Linked DNA regions of Caenorhabditis elegans. The protein of the gene in region 1 purifies or fractionates together with the protein of each later gene. This does not show direct contact. Each region holds a gene or a part of one and is shown in the gene's direction. Other genes may lie near its edges.

Region 1 (4,048 bases):
TTCAGCGAGAATCTCCGTCAGAGATCTGATATTGTCTTCCTGAAATCAACAAACTATTTTTAGAGCTTAATTGAATGTTGTTTACTCTGAACAAAATGAATTCTTTTCCATAAAATTCAGTAATGATGTTGTAACGCTGATGGGCATTAGCGAAGTCATTGTAAGCATATTCAAGAACTTCGGCAGCATGTTTGATTCTGAGCAGGGTTGGAGCATGTCCGCGGAATGCATTAATGATAATATCACGTTGTTCTTTAGTTCCATTCTTCAACATTTTCTTGACGAAAAATTTGGAATAGACGTTCTTTGACATCCTCACTATTTCTGGGGTTAATTCGTTGAACACTGCAATAATTATGTTCTCGTAATTATTCATGGGAACCTTCAAAAAACTTACAGTTGTTAATGATTCCTTCTCTTTCAGTGGCAACAAGACATTCGATAACTCTGCTGGTGTCGTGAGCATAGATCAGCTTGGCAGCGTGTCCTTTTACAAGACCATACAACTCGTGAACCGCAGTATCCTTTTCAGCTTTTGGCGTCTTTCCCATTCTGATCTTTTCCCAAAGTTCCTTGCATTTTTGAGCACGAGCTCCTTCAGGTTTTCTCTTCAATTTCAACTCCTTCAAAAATGCTTTTCTTTCTTTTCTCGGCATATTCAGCAATTGTTCTTTAACAGACTTTGTGACTTGAATAGCTACTCTCTTTCTCTTTAGAGTTGGAATGTCAATATGAGATTCATCTCCACCTGCTTGTTCGTCGACAGATTCCAAATTTTCATCGTCTGCTGGCTCAGAAGCAACGGCTTTCTCTGCATTAACCTTCACTTTTTTCTTTGGGGGAGCGGAATGCTCTTCTTCTTCTTCCTGAGCAACTTTGACAGTCTTCACTTTGGCAAGTTTCTGAAAAAAAACAATTGTGTAAAAGACGATATATTGAATTAACAAACCTTAACCTTCTTATCAAGAGGGGATCTGAGAATTCCTCTTCCTGGAGATGCCTCTGATGGTTTGATTTGAAGATCCTGAACTCGCTTATCGAAAACCTTAACATGTTCAAGTTCTCCTGAGAAAAGCACTTTTTTCGATTTCTTTTTCGGTGCTGGCTGGCTTCCGAACGAAGACTCCGAGCACAAAGAGTCACGAGTCCCATCATTATCAAAAACTGATGTTGAAGATGACTTTTTCAACCTTTCCAACTCGTCCTTCACAGCTTTGTCTACTTTGCTTTTTAACGCTGCTTTTTCTTCAATCTGAAATATTTCACAAAAAATTATTTACAAAATGAAGTAATTTAACAAACCTTAACAATTCGCTTTCTGTCTACTTTGTTGAGTTTTAATCCTTTTGCCTTTTTCTCCAACACATTTTTAACCTTCTTCTTCCCTTTGAATTTTTTATTTTTGTCGTCGAGTTTCACCATTTTTACCCGCGAGATTTCTCTGAAAGACACGCATATTAAAAGGAGTAATAAACACAAGACAATTTTATGTGAGGTTTAAGCGATTTTTACTTTGGAAACAAATTGCACAGCTTCAAAATAGTAACAAAAAGTTACGAAAAAGTAAAGAAAAATGAAAAGAAAATGTTAAAGGCGCATGTTGTCTTCTGACGTCTCTCAATTTACACACTCTCTTCTTCGTCGTTGCGAGACCTGCCGCAATGTTCGTCTCTCCCGTAAATCGACATTGGAAAATCATCATTTGAAATTTTATTTCCATTTAGCTGCCATTTTCAGATTATCAGCTTTTATTTTCGCAATAATTCTACTATTTTTAACGCATTCAAATAAACGAATTATTAAATATTAAATTTTAACGGTTCTTCTGATTTCCGCAGAAATAAAACACGTACCAGTTGCAATCATATATGTGTTAACATAGTTTTTATTTTGCAGAATGAGTTCAATCGGTACCGGCTACGATCTCGCCGCCTCTACTTTTTCTCCTGATGGCAGAATTTTCCAAGGTTTGTTTCGATTTTGCTTTGTTCAAAATACTCATAATCTCGTTTTCAGTCGAGTACGCTCAAAAGGCTGTCGACAATGCAGGAACAATGATTGCAATTCGTGGCAAGAACGGAGTTGTGGTCGTTGCTGACAAGCTGATCTCTTCCAAACTTTACACTGATGTGAGTAATTTAAGAGATTTTCAAGATTTTATCTATAATTTTCAGAACGCTAATCCAAGAATGTTTAACGTGAACGACAATGTTGGTGTCGCAGTTGCTGGAAACTATCCAGATGGTTTCGCTCTGAAGAACTATGCTTACGGAGAAGCAATGAAGTGGCTCAAAGACTACCGTGAGCCAATGCCGATTCAGAATATTGCTAACTCAGTTGCTGAGTACATTCACATTCACACTCTCGGCATTAGTCGTCCGTTTGGAGCAGGAGCCTTCTTCATGTCATGGAACAAACAAACTGGAGGACGTCTTTTCCTTGTGGAGCCATCAGGTCTAAACTATGAATACAAGGCATGGGCTGTCGGAAAACATCGCCAAGCCGCAAAAGCTGAGATTGAGAAGCTGAAGATCGAGGAGCTGGATGTGAATCAACTCGTGAAGGAAGCTGCTCGAATCATTATGGTGGTGCGTGACGAGAACAAGGATAAAAACGTTCAAATCGAAATGGGATGGGTCGGTGAGCAGACGAACGGAAAGTACGAAGAAGTTCCAAGCGAGGTTGTCACTGCTGCCGAGGAATGGGCTATTGCCAAGCTTGACGAGGACGACATGGACGATTGAATCATTCTCGTGTATTTATTCACATTTTTAATTTATTATCAGCTCTCTTCTTTCTGCCCTGGTAAACTTCTTGCGCTCGGCGAGTCATTTTATTGTACTTCAAACCGACTCACCGACTTCAAGAAGAACTTTTTGCACCCGGATGTTTTTTTTTAACTTTTTCTGTTCATTATTTTTCGGTTTCCCGGTATTACCCATTTTTCTCAATACAAATTCAGACAAACCAGAAACATGTTTATGCACAATTCGCTGGGGGCAGTAGACCCGTCCCAAATTATGGCGCTATGTACAAACAAGGATAACAACAATTTTTTAAGTTATGCGGCAACTGCTTGAACTGCTTCCTCGATCATCACACTTTGACCAGTCTTCTGTTTCTCCAAGCACTCAAATACAGAATCTCGAAGATGTCTGTATGTTCTCGTAAGCTCTCCCATTCCAGTTTTCAATCCATTCGAGACGTAGGCAATCGTGATCCCATCTTCCAAATCCATCATTACTGTGCTGCCACCGTAACCAGGATGTCCAACAAGCCACTTTTTCTGAAAAAATAATTGATTTATTATTATATTTATTAAAACGATGCTCACCCCTCCCATTGGATGTCTCTCGTATAGGAAACCATGTCCTTTTGGTAGAGGAGTCATGACAACTTCATCAATCCCCTGAACTTGGGGGGCACGGAACTTTTCTAGAAGTTCAGTAGAGAACAGTTTTCCTTGTTGTACGAGTGAGAAAAGTCTAGCTAAATCTCTTGACTTTGTAATACCAAGAGCAGCGACTTGCTCCATAGCATGTAGAGTTGGATTATTAAAGGTGTTCACATCCTGTTCCAACTTGAACCACGTTGGATTTGCAGCAATCTTTCTTGCAATAGAATTTGGTGGTCGAAGATTAAAAACTGCAAGTACAATCAGAACACGTGGATCATGAACAATCTCCCGAACGAGATGAAGTGTGGACGGCATTGAAAGACGGGATACGGTATGCTCTTCGCTTGGCGGTAATCCAATATGAAAGTCGATTCCGTGAACATCGGCGACTTCTTCTTTGAAGAATCGTCCAACTGATCGACCTTTCGGATCGGAGCGTCGAACGATTTGATCAACGATCCATCCGTAAGTAATTGCATGATATCCAGATTTAGTTCCAGGTTCCCAGTTTGGTTTTTGTGATGCGATGACTTCACTCATTTTCTCGAAATCGTTGGCGTCTTCGATGGTTATTGGCATATCGAGTGCAGCAAGACCTGCCTGGAATTAAGAATTTACTTGAATGTGATTCAGCATGCGAATTTTTATAAT
Region 2 (5,162 bases), 290 kb from region 1:
AGAATTATTGAGAATATGGAGTTTCAATTGTGCACTGGTTTTCAAATTTTTTCAAACTGAGAATCATGGAAATAATGGAGTTTCAATTGTGCACTGGTTTTCAAATTTTTTTTAAACTGAGAATTATTGAGAATATGGAGTTTCAATTGTGCACTGGTTTTCAAATTGTTTTAAACTGAGAATCATGGAAATAATGGAGTTTCAATTGTGCACTGGTTTTCAAATTGTTTTAAACTGAGAATTATTGAGAATATGGAGTTTCAATTGTGCACTGGTTTTCAAATTATTTTAAACTGACAATCATGGAAATAATGGAGTTTCAATTGTGCACTGGTTTTCAAATTTTTTAAACTGAGAATTATTGAGAATATGGAGTTTCAATTGTGCACTGGTTTTCAAATTATTTTAAACTGACAATCATGGAAATAATGGAGTTTCAATTGTGCACTGGTTTTCAAATTTTTTTTAAACTGAGAATTATTGAGAATATGGAGTTTCAATTGTGCACTGGTTTTCAAATTTTTTTAAACTGAGAATTATTGAGAATATGGAGTTTCAATTGTGCACTGGTTTTCAAATTTTTTTAAACTGAGAATCATGGAAATAATGGAGTTTCAATTGTGCACTGGTTTTCAAATTTTTTAAACTGAGAATTATTGAGAATATGGAGTTTCAATTGTGCACTGGTTTTCAAATTTTTTTTAAACTGAGAATTATTGAGAATATGGAGTTTCAATTGTGCACTGGTTTTCAAATTTTTTTTAAACTGAGAATTATTGAGAATATGGAGTTTCAATTGTGCACTGGTTTTCAAATTTTTTCAAACTGAGAATCATGGAAATAATGGAGTTTCAATTGTGCACTGGTTTTCAAATTGTTTTAAACTGAGAATCATGGAAATAATGGAGTTTCAATTGTGCACTGGTTTTCAAATTGTTTTAAACTGAGAATCATGGAAATAATGGAGTTTCAATTGTGCACTGGTTTTCAAATTGTTTTAAACTGAGAATCATGGAAATAATGGAGTTTCAATTGTGCACTGGTTTTCAAATTGTTTTAAACTGAGAATCATGGAAATAATGGAGTTTCAATTGTGCACTGGTTTTCAAATTTTTTAAACTGAGAATTATTGAGAATATGGAGTTTCAATTGTGCACTGGTTTTCAAATTTTTTTTAAACTGAGAATTATTGAGAATATGGAGTTTCAATTGTGCACTGGTTTTCAAATTTTTTTTAAACTGAGAATCATGGAAATAATGGAGTTTCAATTGTGCACTGGTTTTCAAATTTTTTTTAAACTGAGAATTATTGAGAATATGGAGTTTCAATTGTGCACAGGTTTTCAAATTATTTTAAACTGACAATCATGGAAATAATGGAGTTTCAATTGTGCACTGGTTTTCAAATTTTTTTAAACTGAGAATCATGGAAATAATGGAGTTTCAATTGTGCACTGGTTTTCAAATTTTTTTTAAACTGAGAATTATTGAGAATATGGAGTTTCAATTGTGCACAGGTTTTCAAATTTTTTTAAACTGAGAATCATGGAAATAATGGAGTTTCAATTGTGCACTGGTTTTCAATTTTTTTTAAACTGAGAATTATTGAGAATATGGAGTTTGAATTGTGCACTGGTTTTCAAATTTTTTTAAACTGAGAATTATGGAGATTAGACAATTTTTGAAACGTGAATGGAAAATACCGCTACAGTAACCAAACTTTAATTTAGAAACTTTATTTACTGTAGGCCAATAATAACACTCTAGTTATCTGTCCACCTATTTTGAACTTGATCATGCTCAAATCACACGCGACAAATCATATTTTTCTATCACAATAATCAGTTGTTTCGAAACTTTCTTATCGTCAAAACTTTGCATCACTCATGGCTTGATAGTATGTGTTTGTGGAGAGAGGGAAAAGTTAAAAAGGGATAGTAGTTATACATTTTCTGTGTCAAAAATTTGGTTTGTGACTGTTCGGGCAGATATAAAAATGAAAGAAAATTATGGTGGATATCTCATTTTTTGAGAATTGGAAGCTTTATAAATTCAGCATTTTCAACGTCTGAAAAATGATTTTCGAGCTCATCCTAATTTCAATTGTTACCTACTATTTCTGGCATTGGACTTTCTGGAAGCGACGTGGATTGCCAGGCCCTTGGGGAGTTCCGATTTTCGGAAAAGCTGGAGCTATGCTGGAGGATAGTTTCCCACCGGGTTACACTCTTCAAAAATGGACAAAGGAATATGGAAAAATTTATGGATTCACTGAAGGAATGCAGAAAGTCATGGTGATTTCAGATCCTGATTTGGTTCAGGAAATCCTTGTGAAACAGTACGATAATTTTTATGGAAGAAAGCATAATCCAGTTCAAGGAGATCCAGATAAGGATAAGGATATTCATATTGTTGGAGCTCAAGGTTTTAGGTAAGGAGACCACTTCAGACGTGCTGGCTTGCCTGCCACTCGCATATTTTAATTGATAACTTTCAGATGGAAACGTCTCCGAACAATCACGGCACCTGCATTTTCAAATGGCAGTATCAAAAAAGTATTGACTACAATGGAAGATAGCACACAGGAGCTTATGAAAAAATTAAGAGAAGAATCAGAGAATGGAAAAGCAGTCAATATGCATCTGTAAGTTGTTCATAGCGGTCTAATTAAGGTGTTTTACTGTTAAATTTTAGTTTCTACCAGGAGTACACCTTTGACGTGATCTCCAGAGTTGCCATGGGACAACCCGACTCCCAAATGTTTAAAAATCCATTATTAAAGGATGTTAAAGGGGTAGGTTCATCTCCTTTGTTGGATTGATTTTTAATTTTAAAAGTTTAACAAAAATGTATTTTTACAGTTCTTCGAGCACAACCGCTGGCAGATCTGGATGTTCAGTGGAGGATTTCCATTTGCTGTGTCTTTTCTCAAATGGTTGTTCATTAAAGTAGGCAAGTTCGGAGCTGGTCCCTTTATTGTCGTGCAAAAATCGGTAACGGACGCAGTGATGTCCCGGATTGCTCAACGAGAAGCCGATAAGAAACATGGAGTTGAGCCAGGAGAGGCCGCTGATTATATTGATATGTTTTTGAATGCAAGAGCCGAAGTTGAACATTTTGGTGAAAGCAATGACGAATTCCATAAATCATCCTCCTATGTAAGCTTGAAATTAACATAGTGATTTTTATAAATTCCTTCAATTTCAGAATAACCGACAACTGACCACTCAAGAAATCATTAGCCAGTGCTTTGTATTTTTAGTTGCTGGATTTGATACTACAGCCATTTCCCTTTCCTATGTTACATACTTCTTGGCATTGAATCCAAAAATTCAGAGCAAGTTACAAGACGAAGTAGACAAAGAATGTCCAAATGATGAGATCACATTTGATCAGCTTTCAAAATTGAAATATATGGATAATGTGATCAAGGAGTCATTAAGATTGTTCCCATTTGCTTCTTTGTGAGTTTCCAATGTTTACTTACAAATTAAATATATTTTACTTTCAGTGCAAACTCCCGCCGATGCATGAGAAATACGGTTATCGGAGAGCAAATTGTAGAAGCTGGTGTTGATGTGATGATCGACACCTGGACTCTTCACCATGACAAAAATGTATGGGGAAATGACGTAGAAGAGTTCAAGCCTGAAAGGTAAGATATTTTCGATGCGTACTTTAAGAAAGATTTTTCAAGAGCGTAGTGACGTCTATCAAGATTCTATGAAAAAGTAATTTAAAAATATTTTTAGATGGGACTCTCCATTAACTCCTCAACAAGCATACCTCTCATTTGGTGCTGGACCCAGAGTATGTCTCGGAATGCGGTTTGCACTTTTGGAGCAGAAAGGATTATTGTCACATATACTCAAAAAATATACTTTCGAGACAAATGCGAAGACACAGCTTCCGATTAAATTAGTAGGCCGAGCAACTGCAAGGCCTGAAAACTTGTTCTTGTCATTGAAGCCGAGAGTTTGATTATAATATACCTTTCCTAATCCCTCCATGTTGTTTTAACTTTCTTCAACTTAATACAAATAGCTTTAAATTTAATTTTTTAAGTAACTGACATAGAAGTTTGTGCTTTTAAATACGTGAACATACAAATTTATTGGGTAAATATATAAACAAAGACAACAATCCGTACAAAACACATTTCAAAACCTGGATTTAAGTTTGAGCAGCACACTTGATGGCGCAATAGTAGCAGTTCCGACTAACTTCAATGGAATCACAGTTTCTGGTGTGGTTTCAAATGTATAGTTTTTCAAAATATTGGTCAAAAGCATTTTCATTTCCATCATAGCCAATCGCATACCAATACAAATTCTTGGTCCCATGCCGAACGGAAGATATCCGCCTTTAGCAAAGAATAGTTCATCCCCGGACTCCCATCTGTAGAACATTTGATGAAATAAATAATTGTCAAATAAAACCAACCTTTCCGGCTTGAACTCGTTAACATCATCTCCCCAAACTTTCGGATCATGGTGAAGAGACCAGGTATCCACATTAATATTTGTTCCAGCTTCTATTTCCATTCCCAGAACATTTGTGGTTTTGAGACATTTTCGATTGTGAACACTGAATTATTTTTTAATTACAGAGAACAAACTACACCACGGCAAAACTTAGAAATTAAAAAAAAACTAACAGAGACGCCAATGGATACAATCTCAATGCTTCTTTCACAACACATTCCAAATATTTCAATTTCGACAGCTGATCAAAAGTGACTTCAGGGTCTGGACATTCTCTATCCACTTCTTCTTGTAATTTCTTCTGAATCTCTGGATGTGTTGCCAGGAGATATGAAGAATATGACAGAGAAAGGGCAGTCGTGTCGTATCCAGCTAACAAGAAAACAAACAGTTGTCCAATAATCTCATCAAATGTCAGATGCTTATCCACTTTCAAGACTTCACTTTTAGCAAAATCTTGTTCAGCTTCGCCTTCGAAAAAGTCTACAGTTGATCTAGCATCTAAAAACAAATCGATGAAATCTTGAGGCTCCCCAGATGGCTCAATTCCAGCCTTCTCATCAGCTTCCCTTTGTTCCAGTCGTTTGTTCAAAGCCTTCTCCAAAATACTTTGAATATCGGTAGCCATTTGAAGTGATGGAAATTTGGCAAAAATGTTGCGTAGAGCAATTCCAACGA

What was found.
Region 2: the proteins of pas-7 (region 1) and cyp-13A8 fractionate together in Caenorhabditis elegans (co-fractionation; one large-scale study listed by BioGRID). This does not show direct contact.

Annotation. Positions count from the first base shown.
Region 1 is NC_003280.10:10,097,703-10,101,750, reverse strand, and holds pas-7 (Proteasome subunit alpha type-3), read left to right. Parts: upstream 1-1,896; 5' UTR 1,897-1,897; coding exon 1,898-1,967; intron 1,968-2,016; coding exon 2,017-2,129; intron 2,130-2,174; coding exon 2,175-2,744; 3' UTR 2,745-2,969; downstream 2,970-4,048. Other genes in the region: puf-12 (Pumilio domain-containing protein 12), read right to left, coding at 1-39, 86-345, 398-902, 950-1,252, 1,303-1,422; lact-2 (Beta-lactamase domain-containing protein 2), read right to left, coding at 3,062-3,286, 3,335-3,997.
Region 2 is NC_003280.10:9,804,446-9,809,607, reverse strand, and holds cyp-13A8 (Putative cytochrome P450 CYP13A8), read left to right. Parts: upstream 1-2,038; 5' UTR 2,039-2,075; coding exon 2,076-2,431; intron 2,432-2,497; coding exon 2,498-2,644; intron 2,645-2,694; coding exon 2,695-2,794; intron 2,795-2,861; coding exon 2,862-3,158; intron 3,159-3,207; coding exon 3,208-3,464; intron 3,465-3,511; coding exon 3,512-3,655; intron 3,656-3,752; coding exon 3,753-3,981; 3' UTR 3,982-4,008; downstream 4,009-5,162. Other genes in the region: cyp-13A7 (Putative cytochrome P450 CYP13A7), read right to left, coding at 4,161-4,398, 4,444-4,587, 4,658-5,162. UniProt on the Caenorhabditis elegans protein: Cytochromes P450 are a group of heme-thiolate monooxygenases. They oxidize a variety of structurally unrelated compounds, including steroids, fatty acids, and xenobiotics.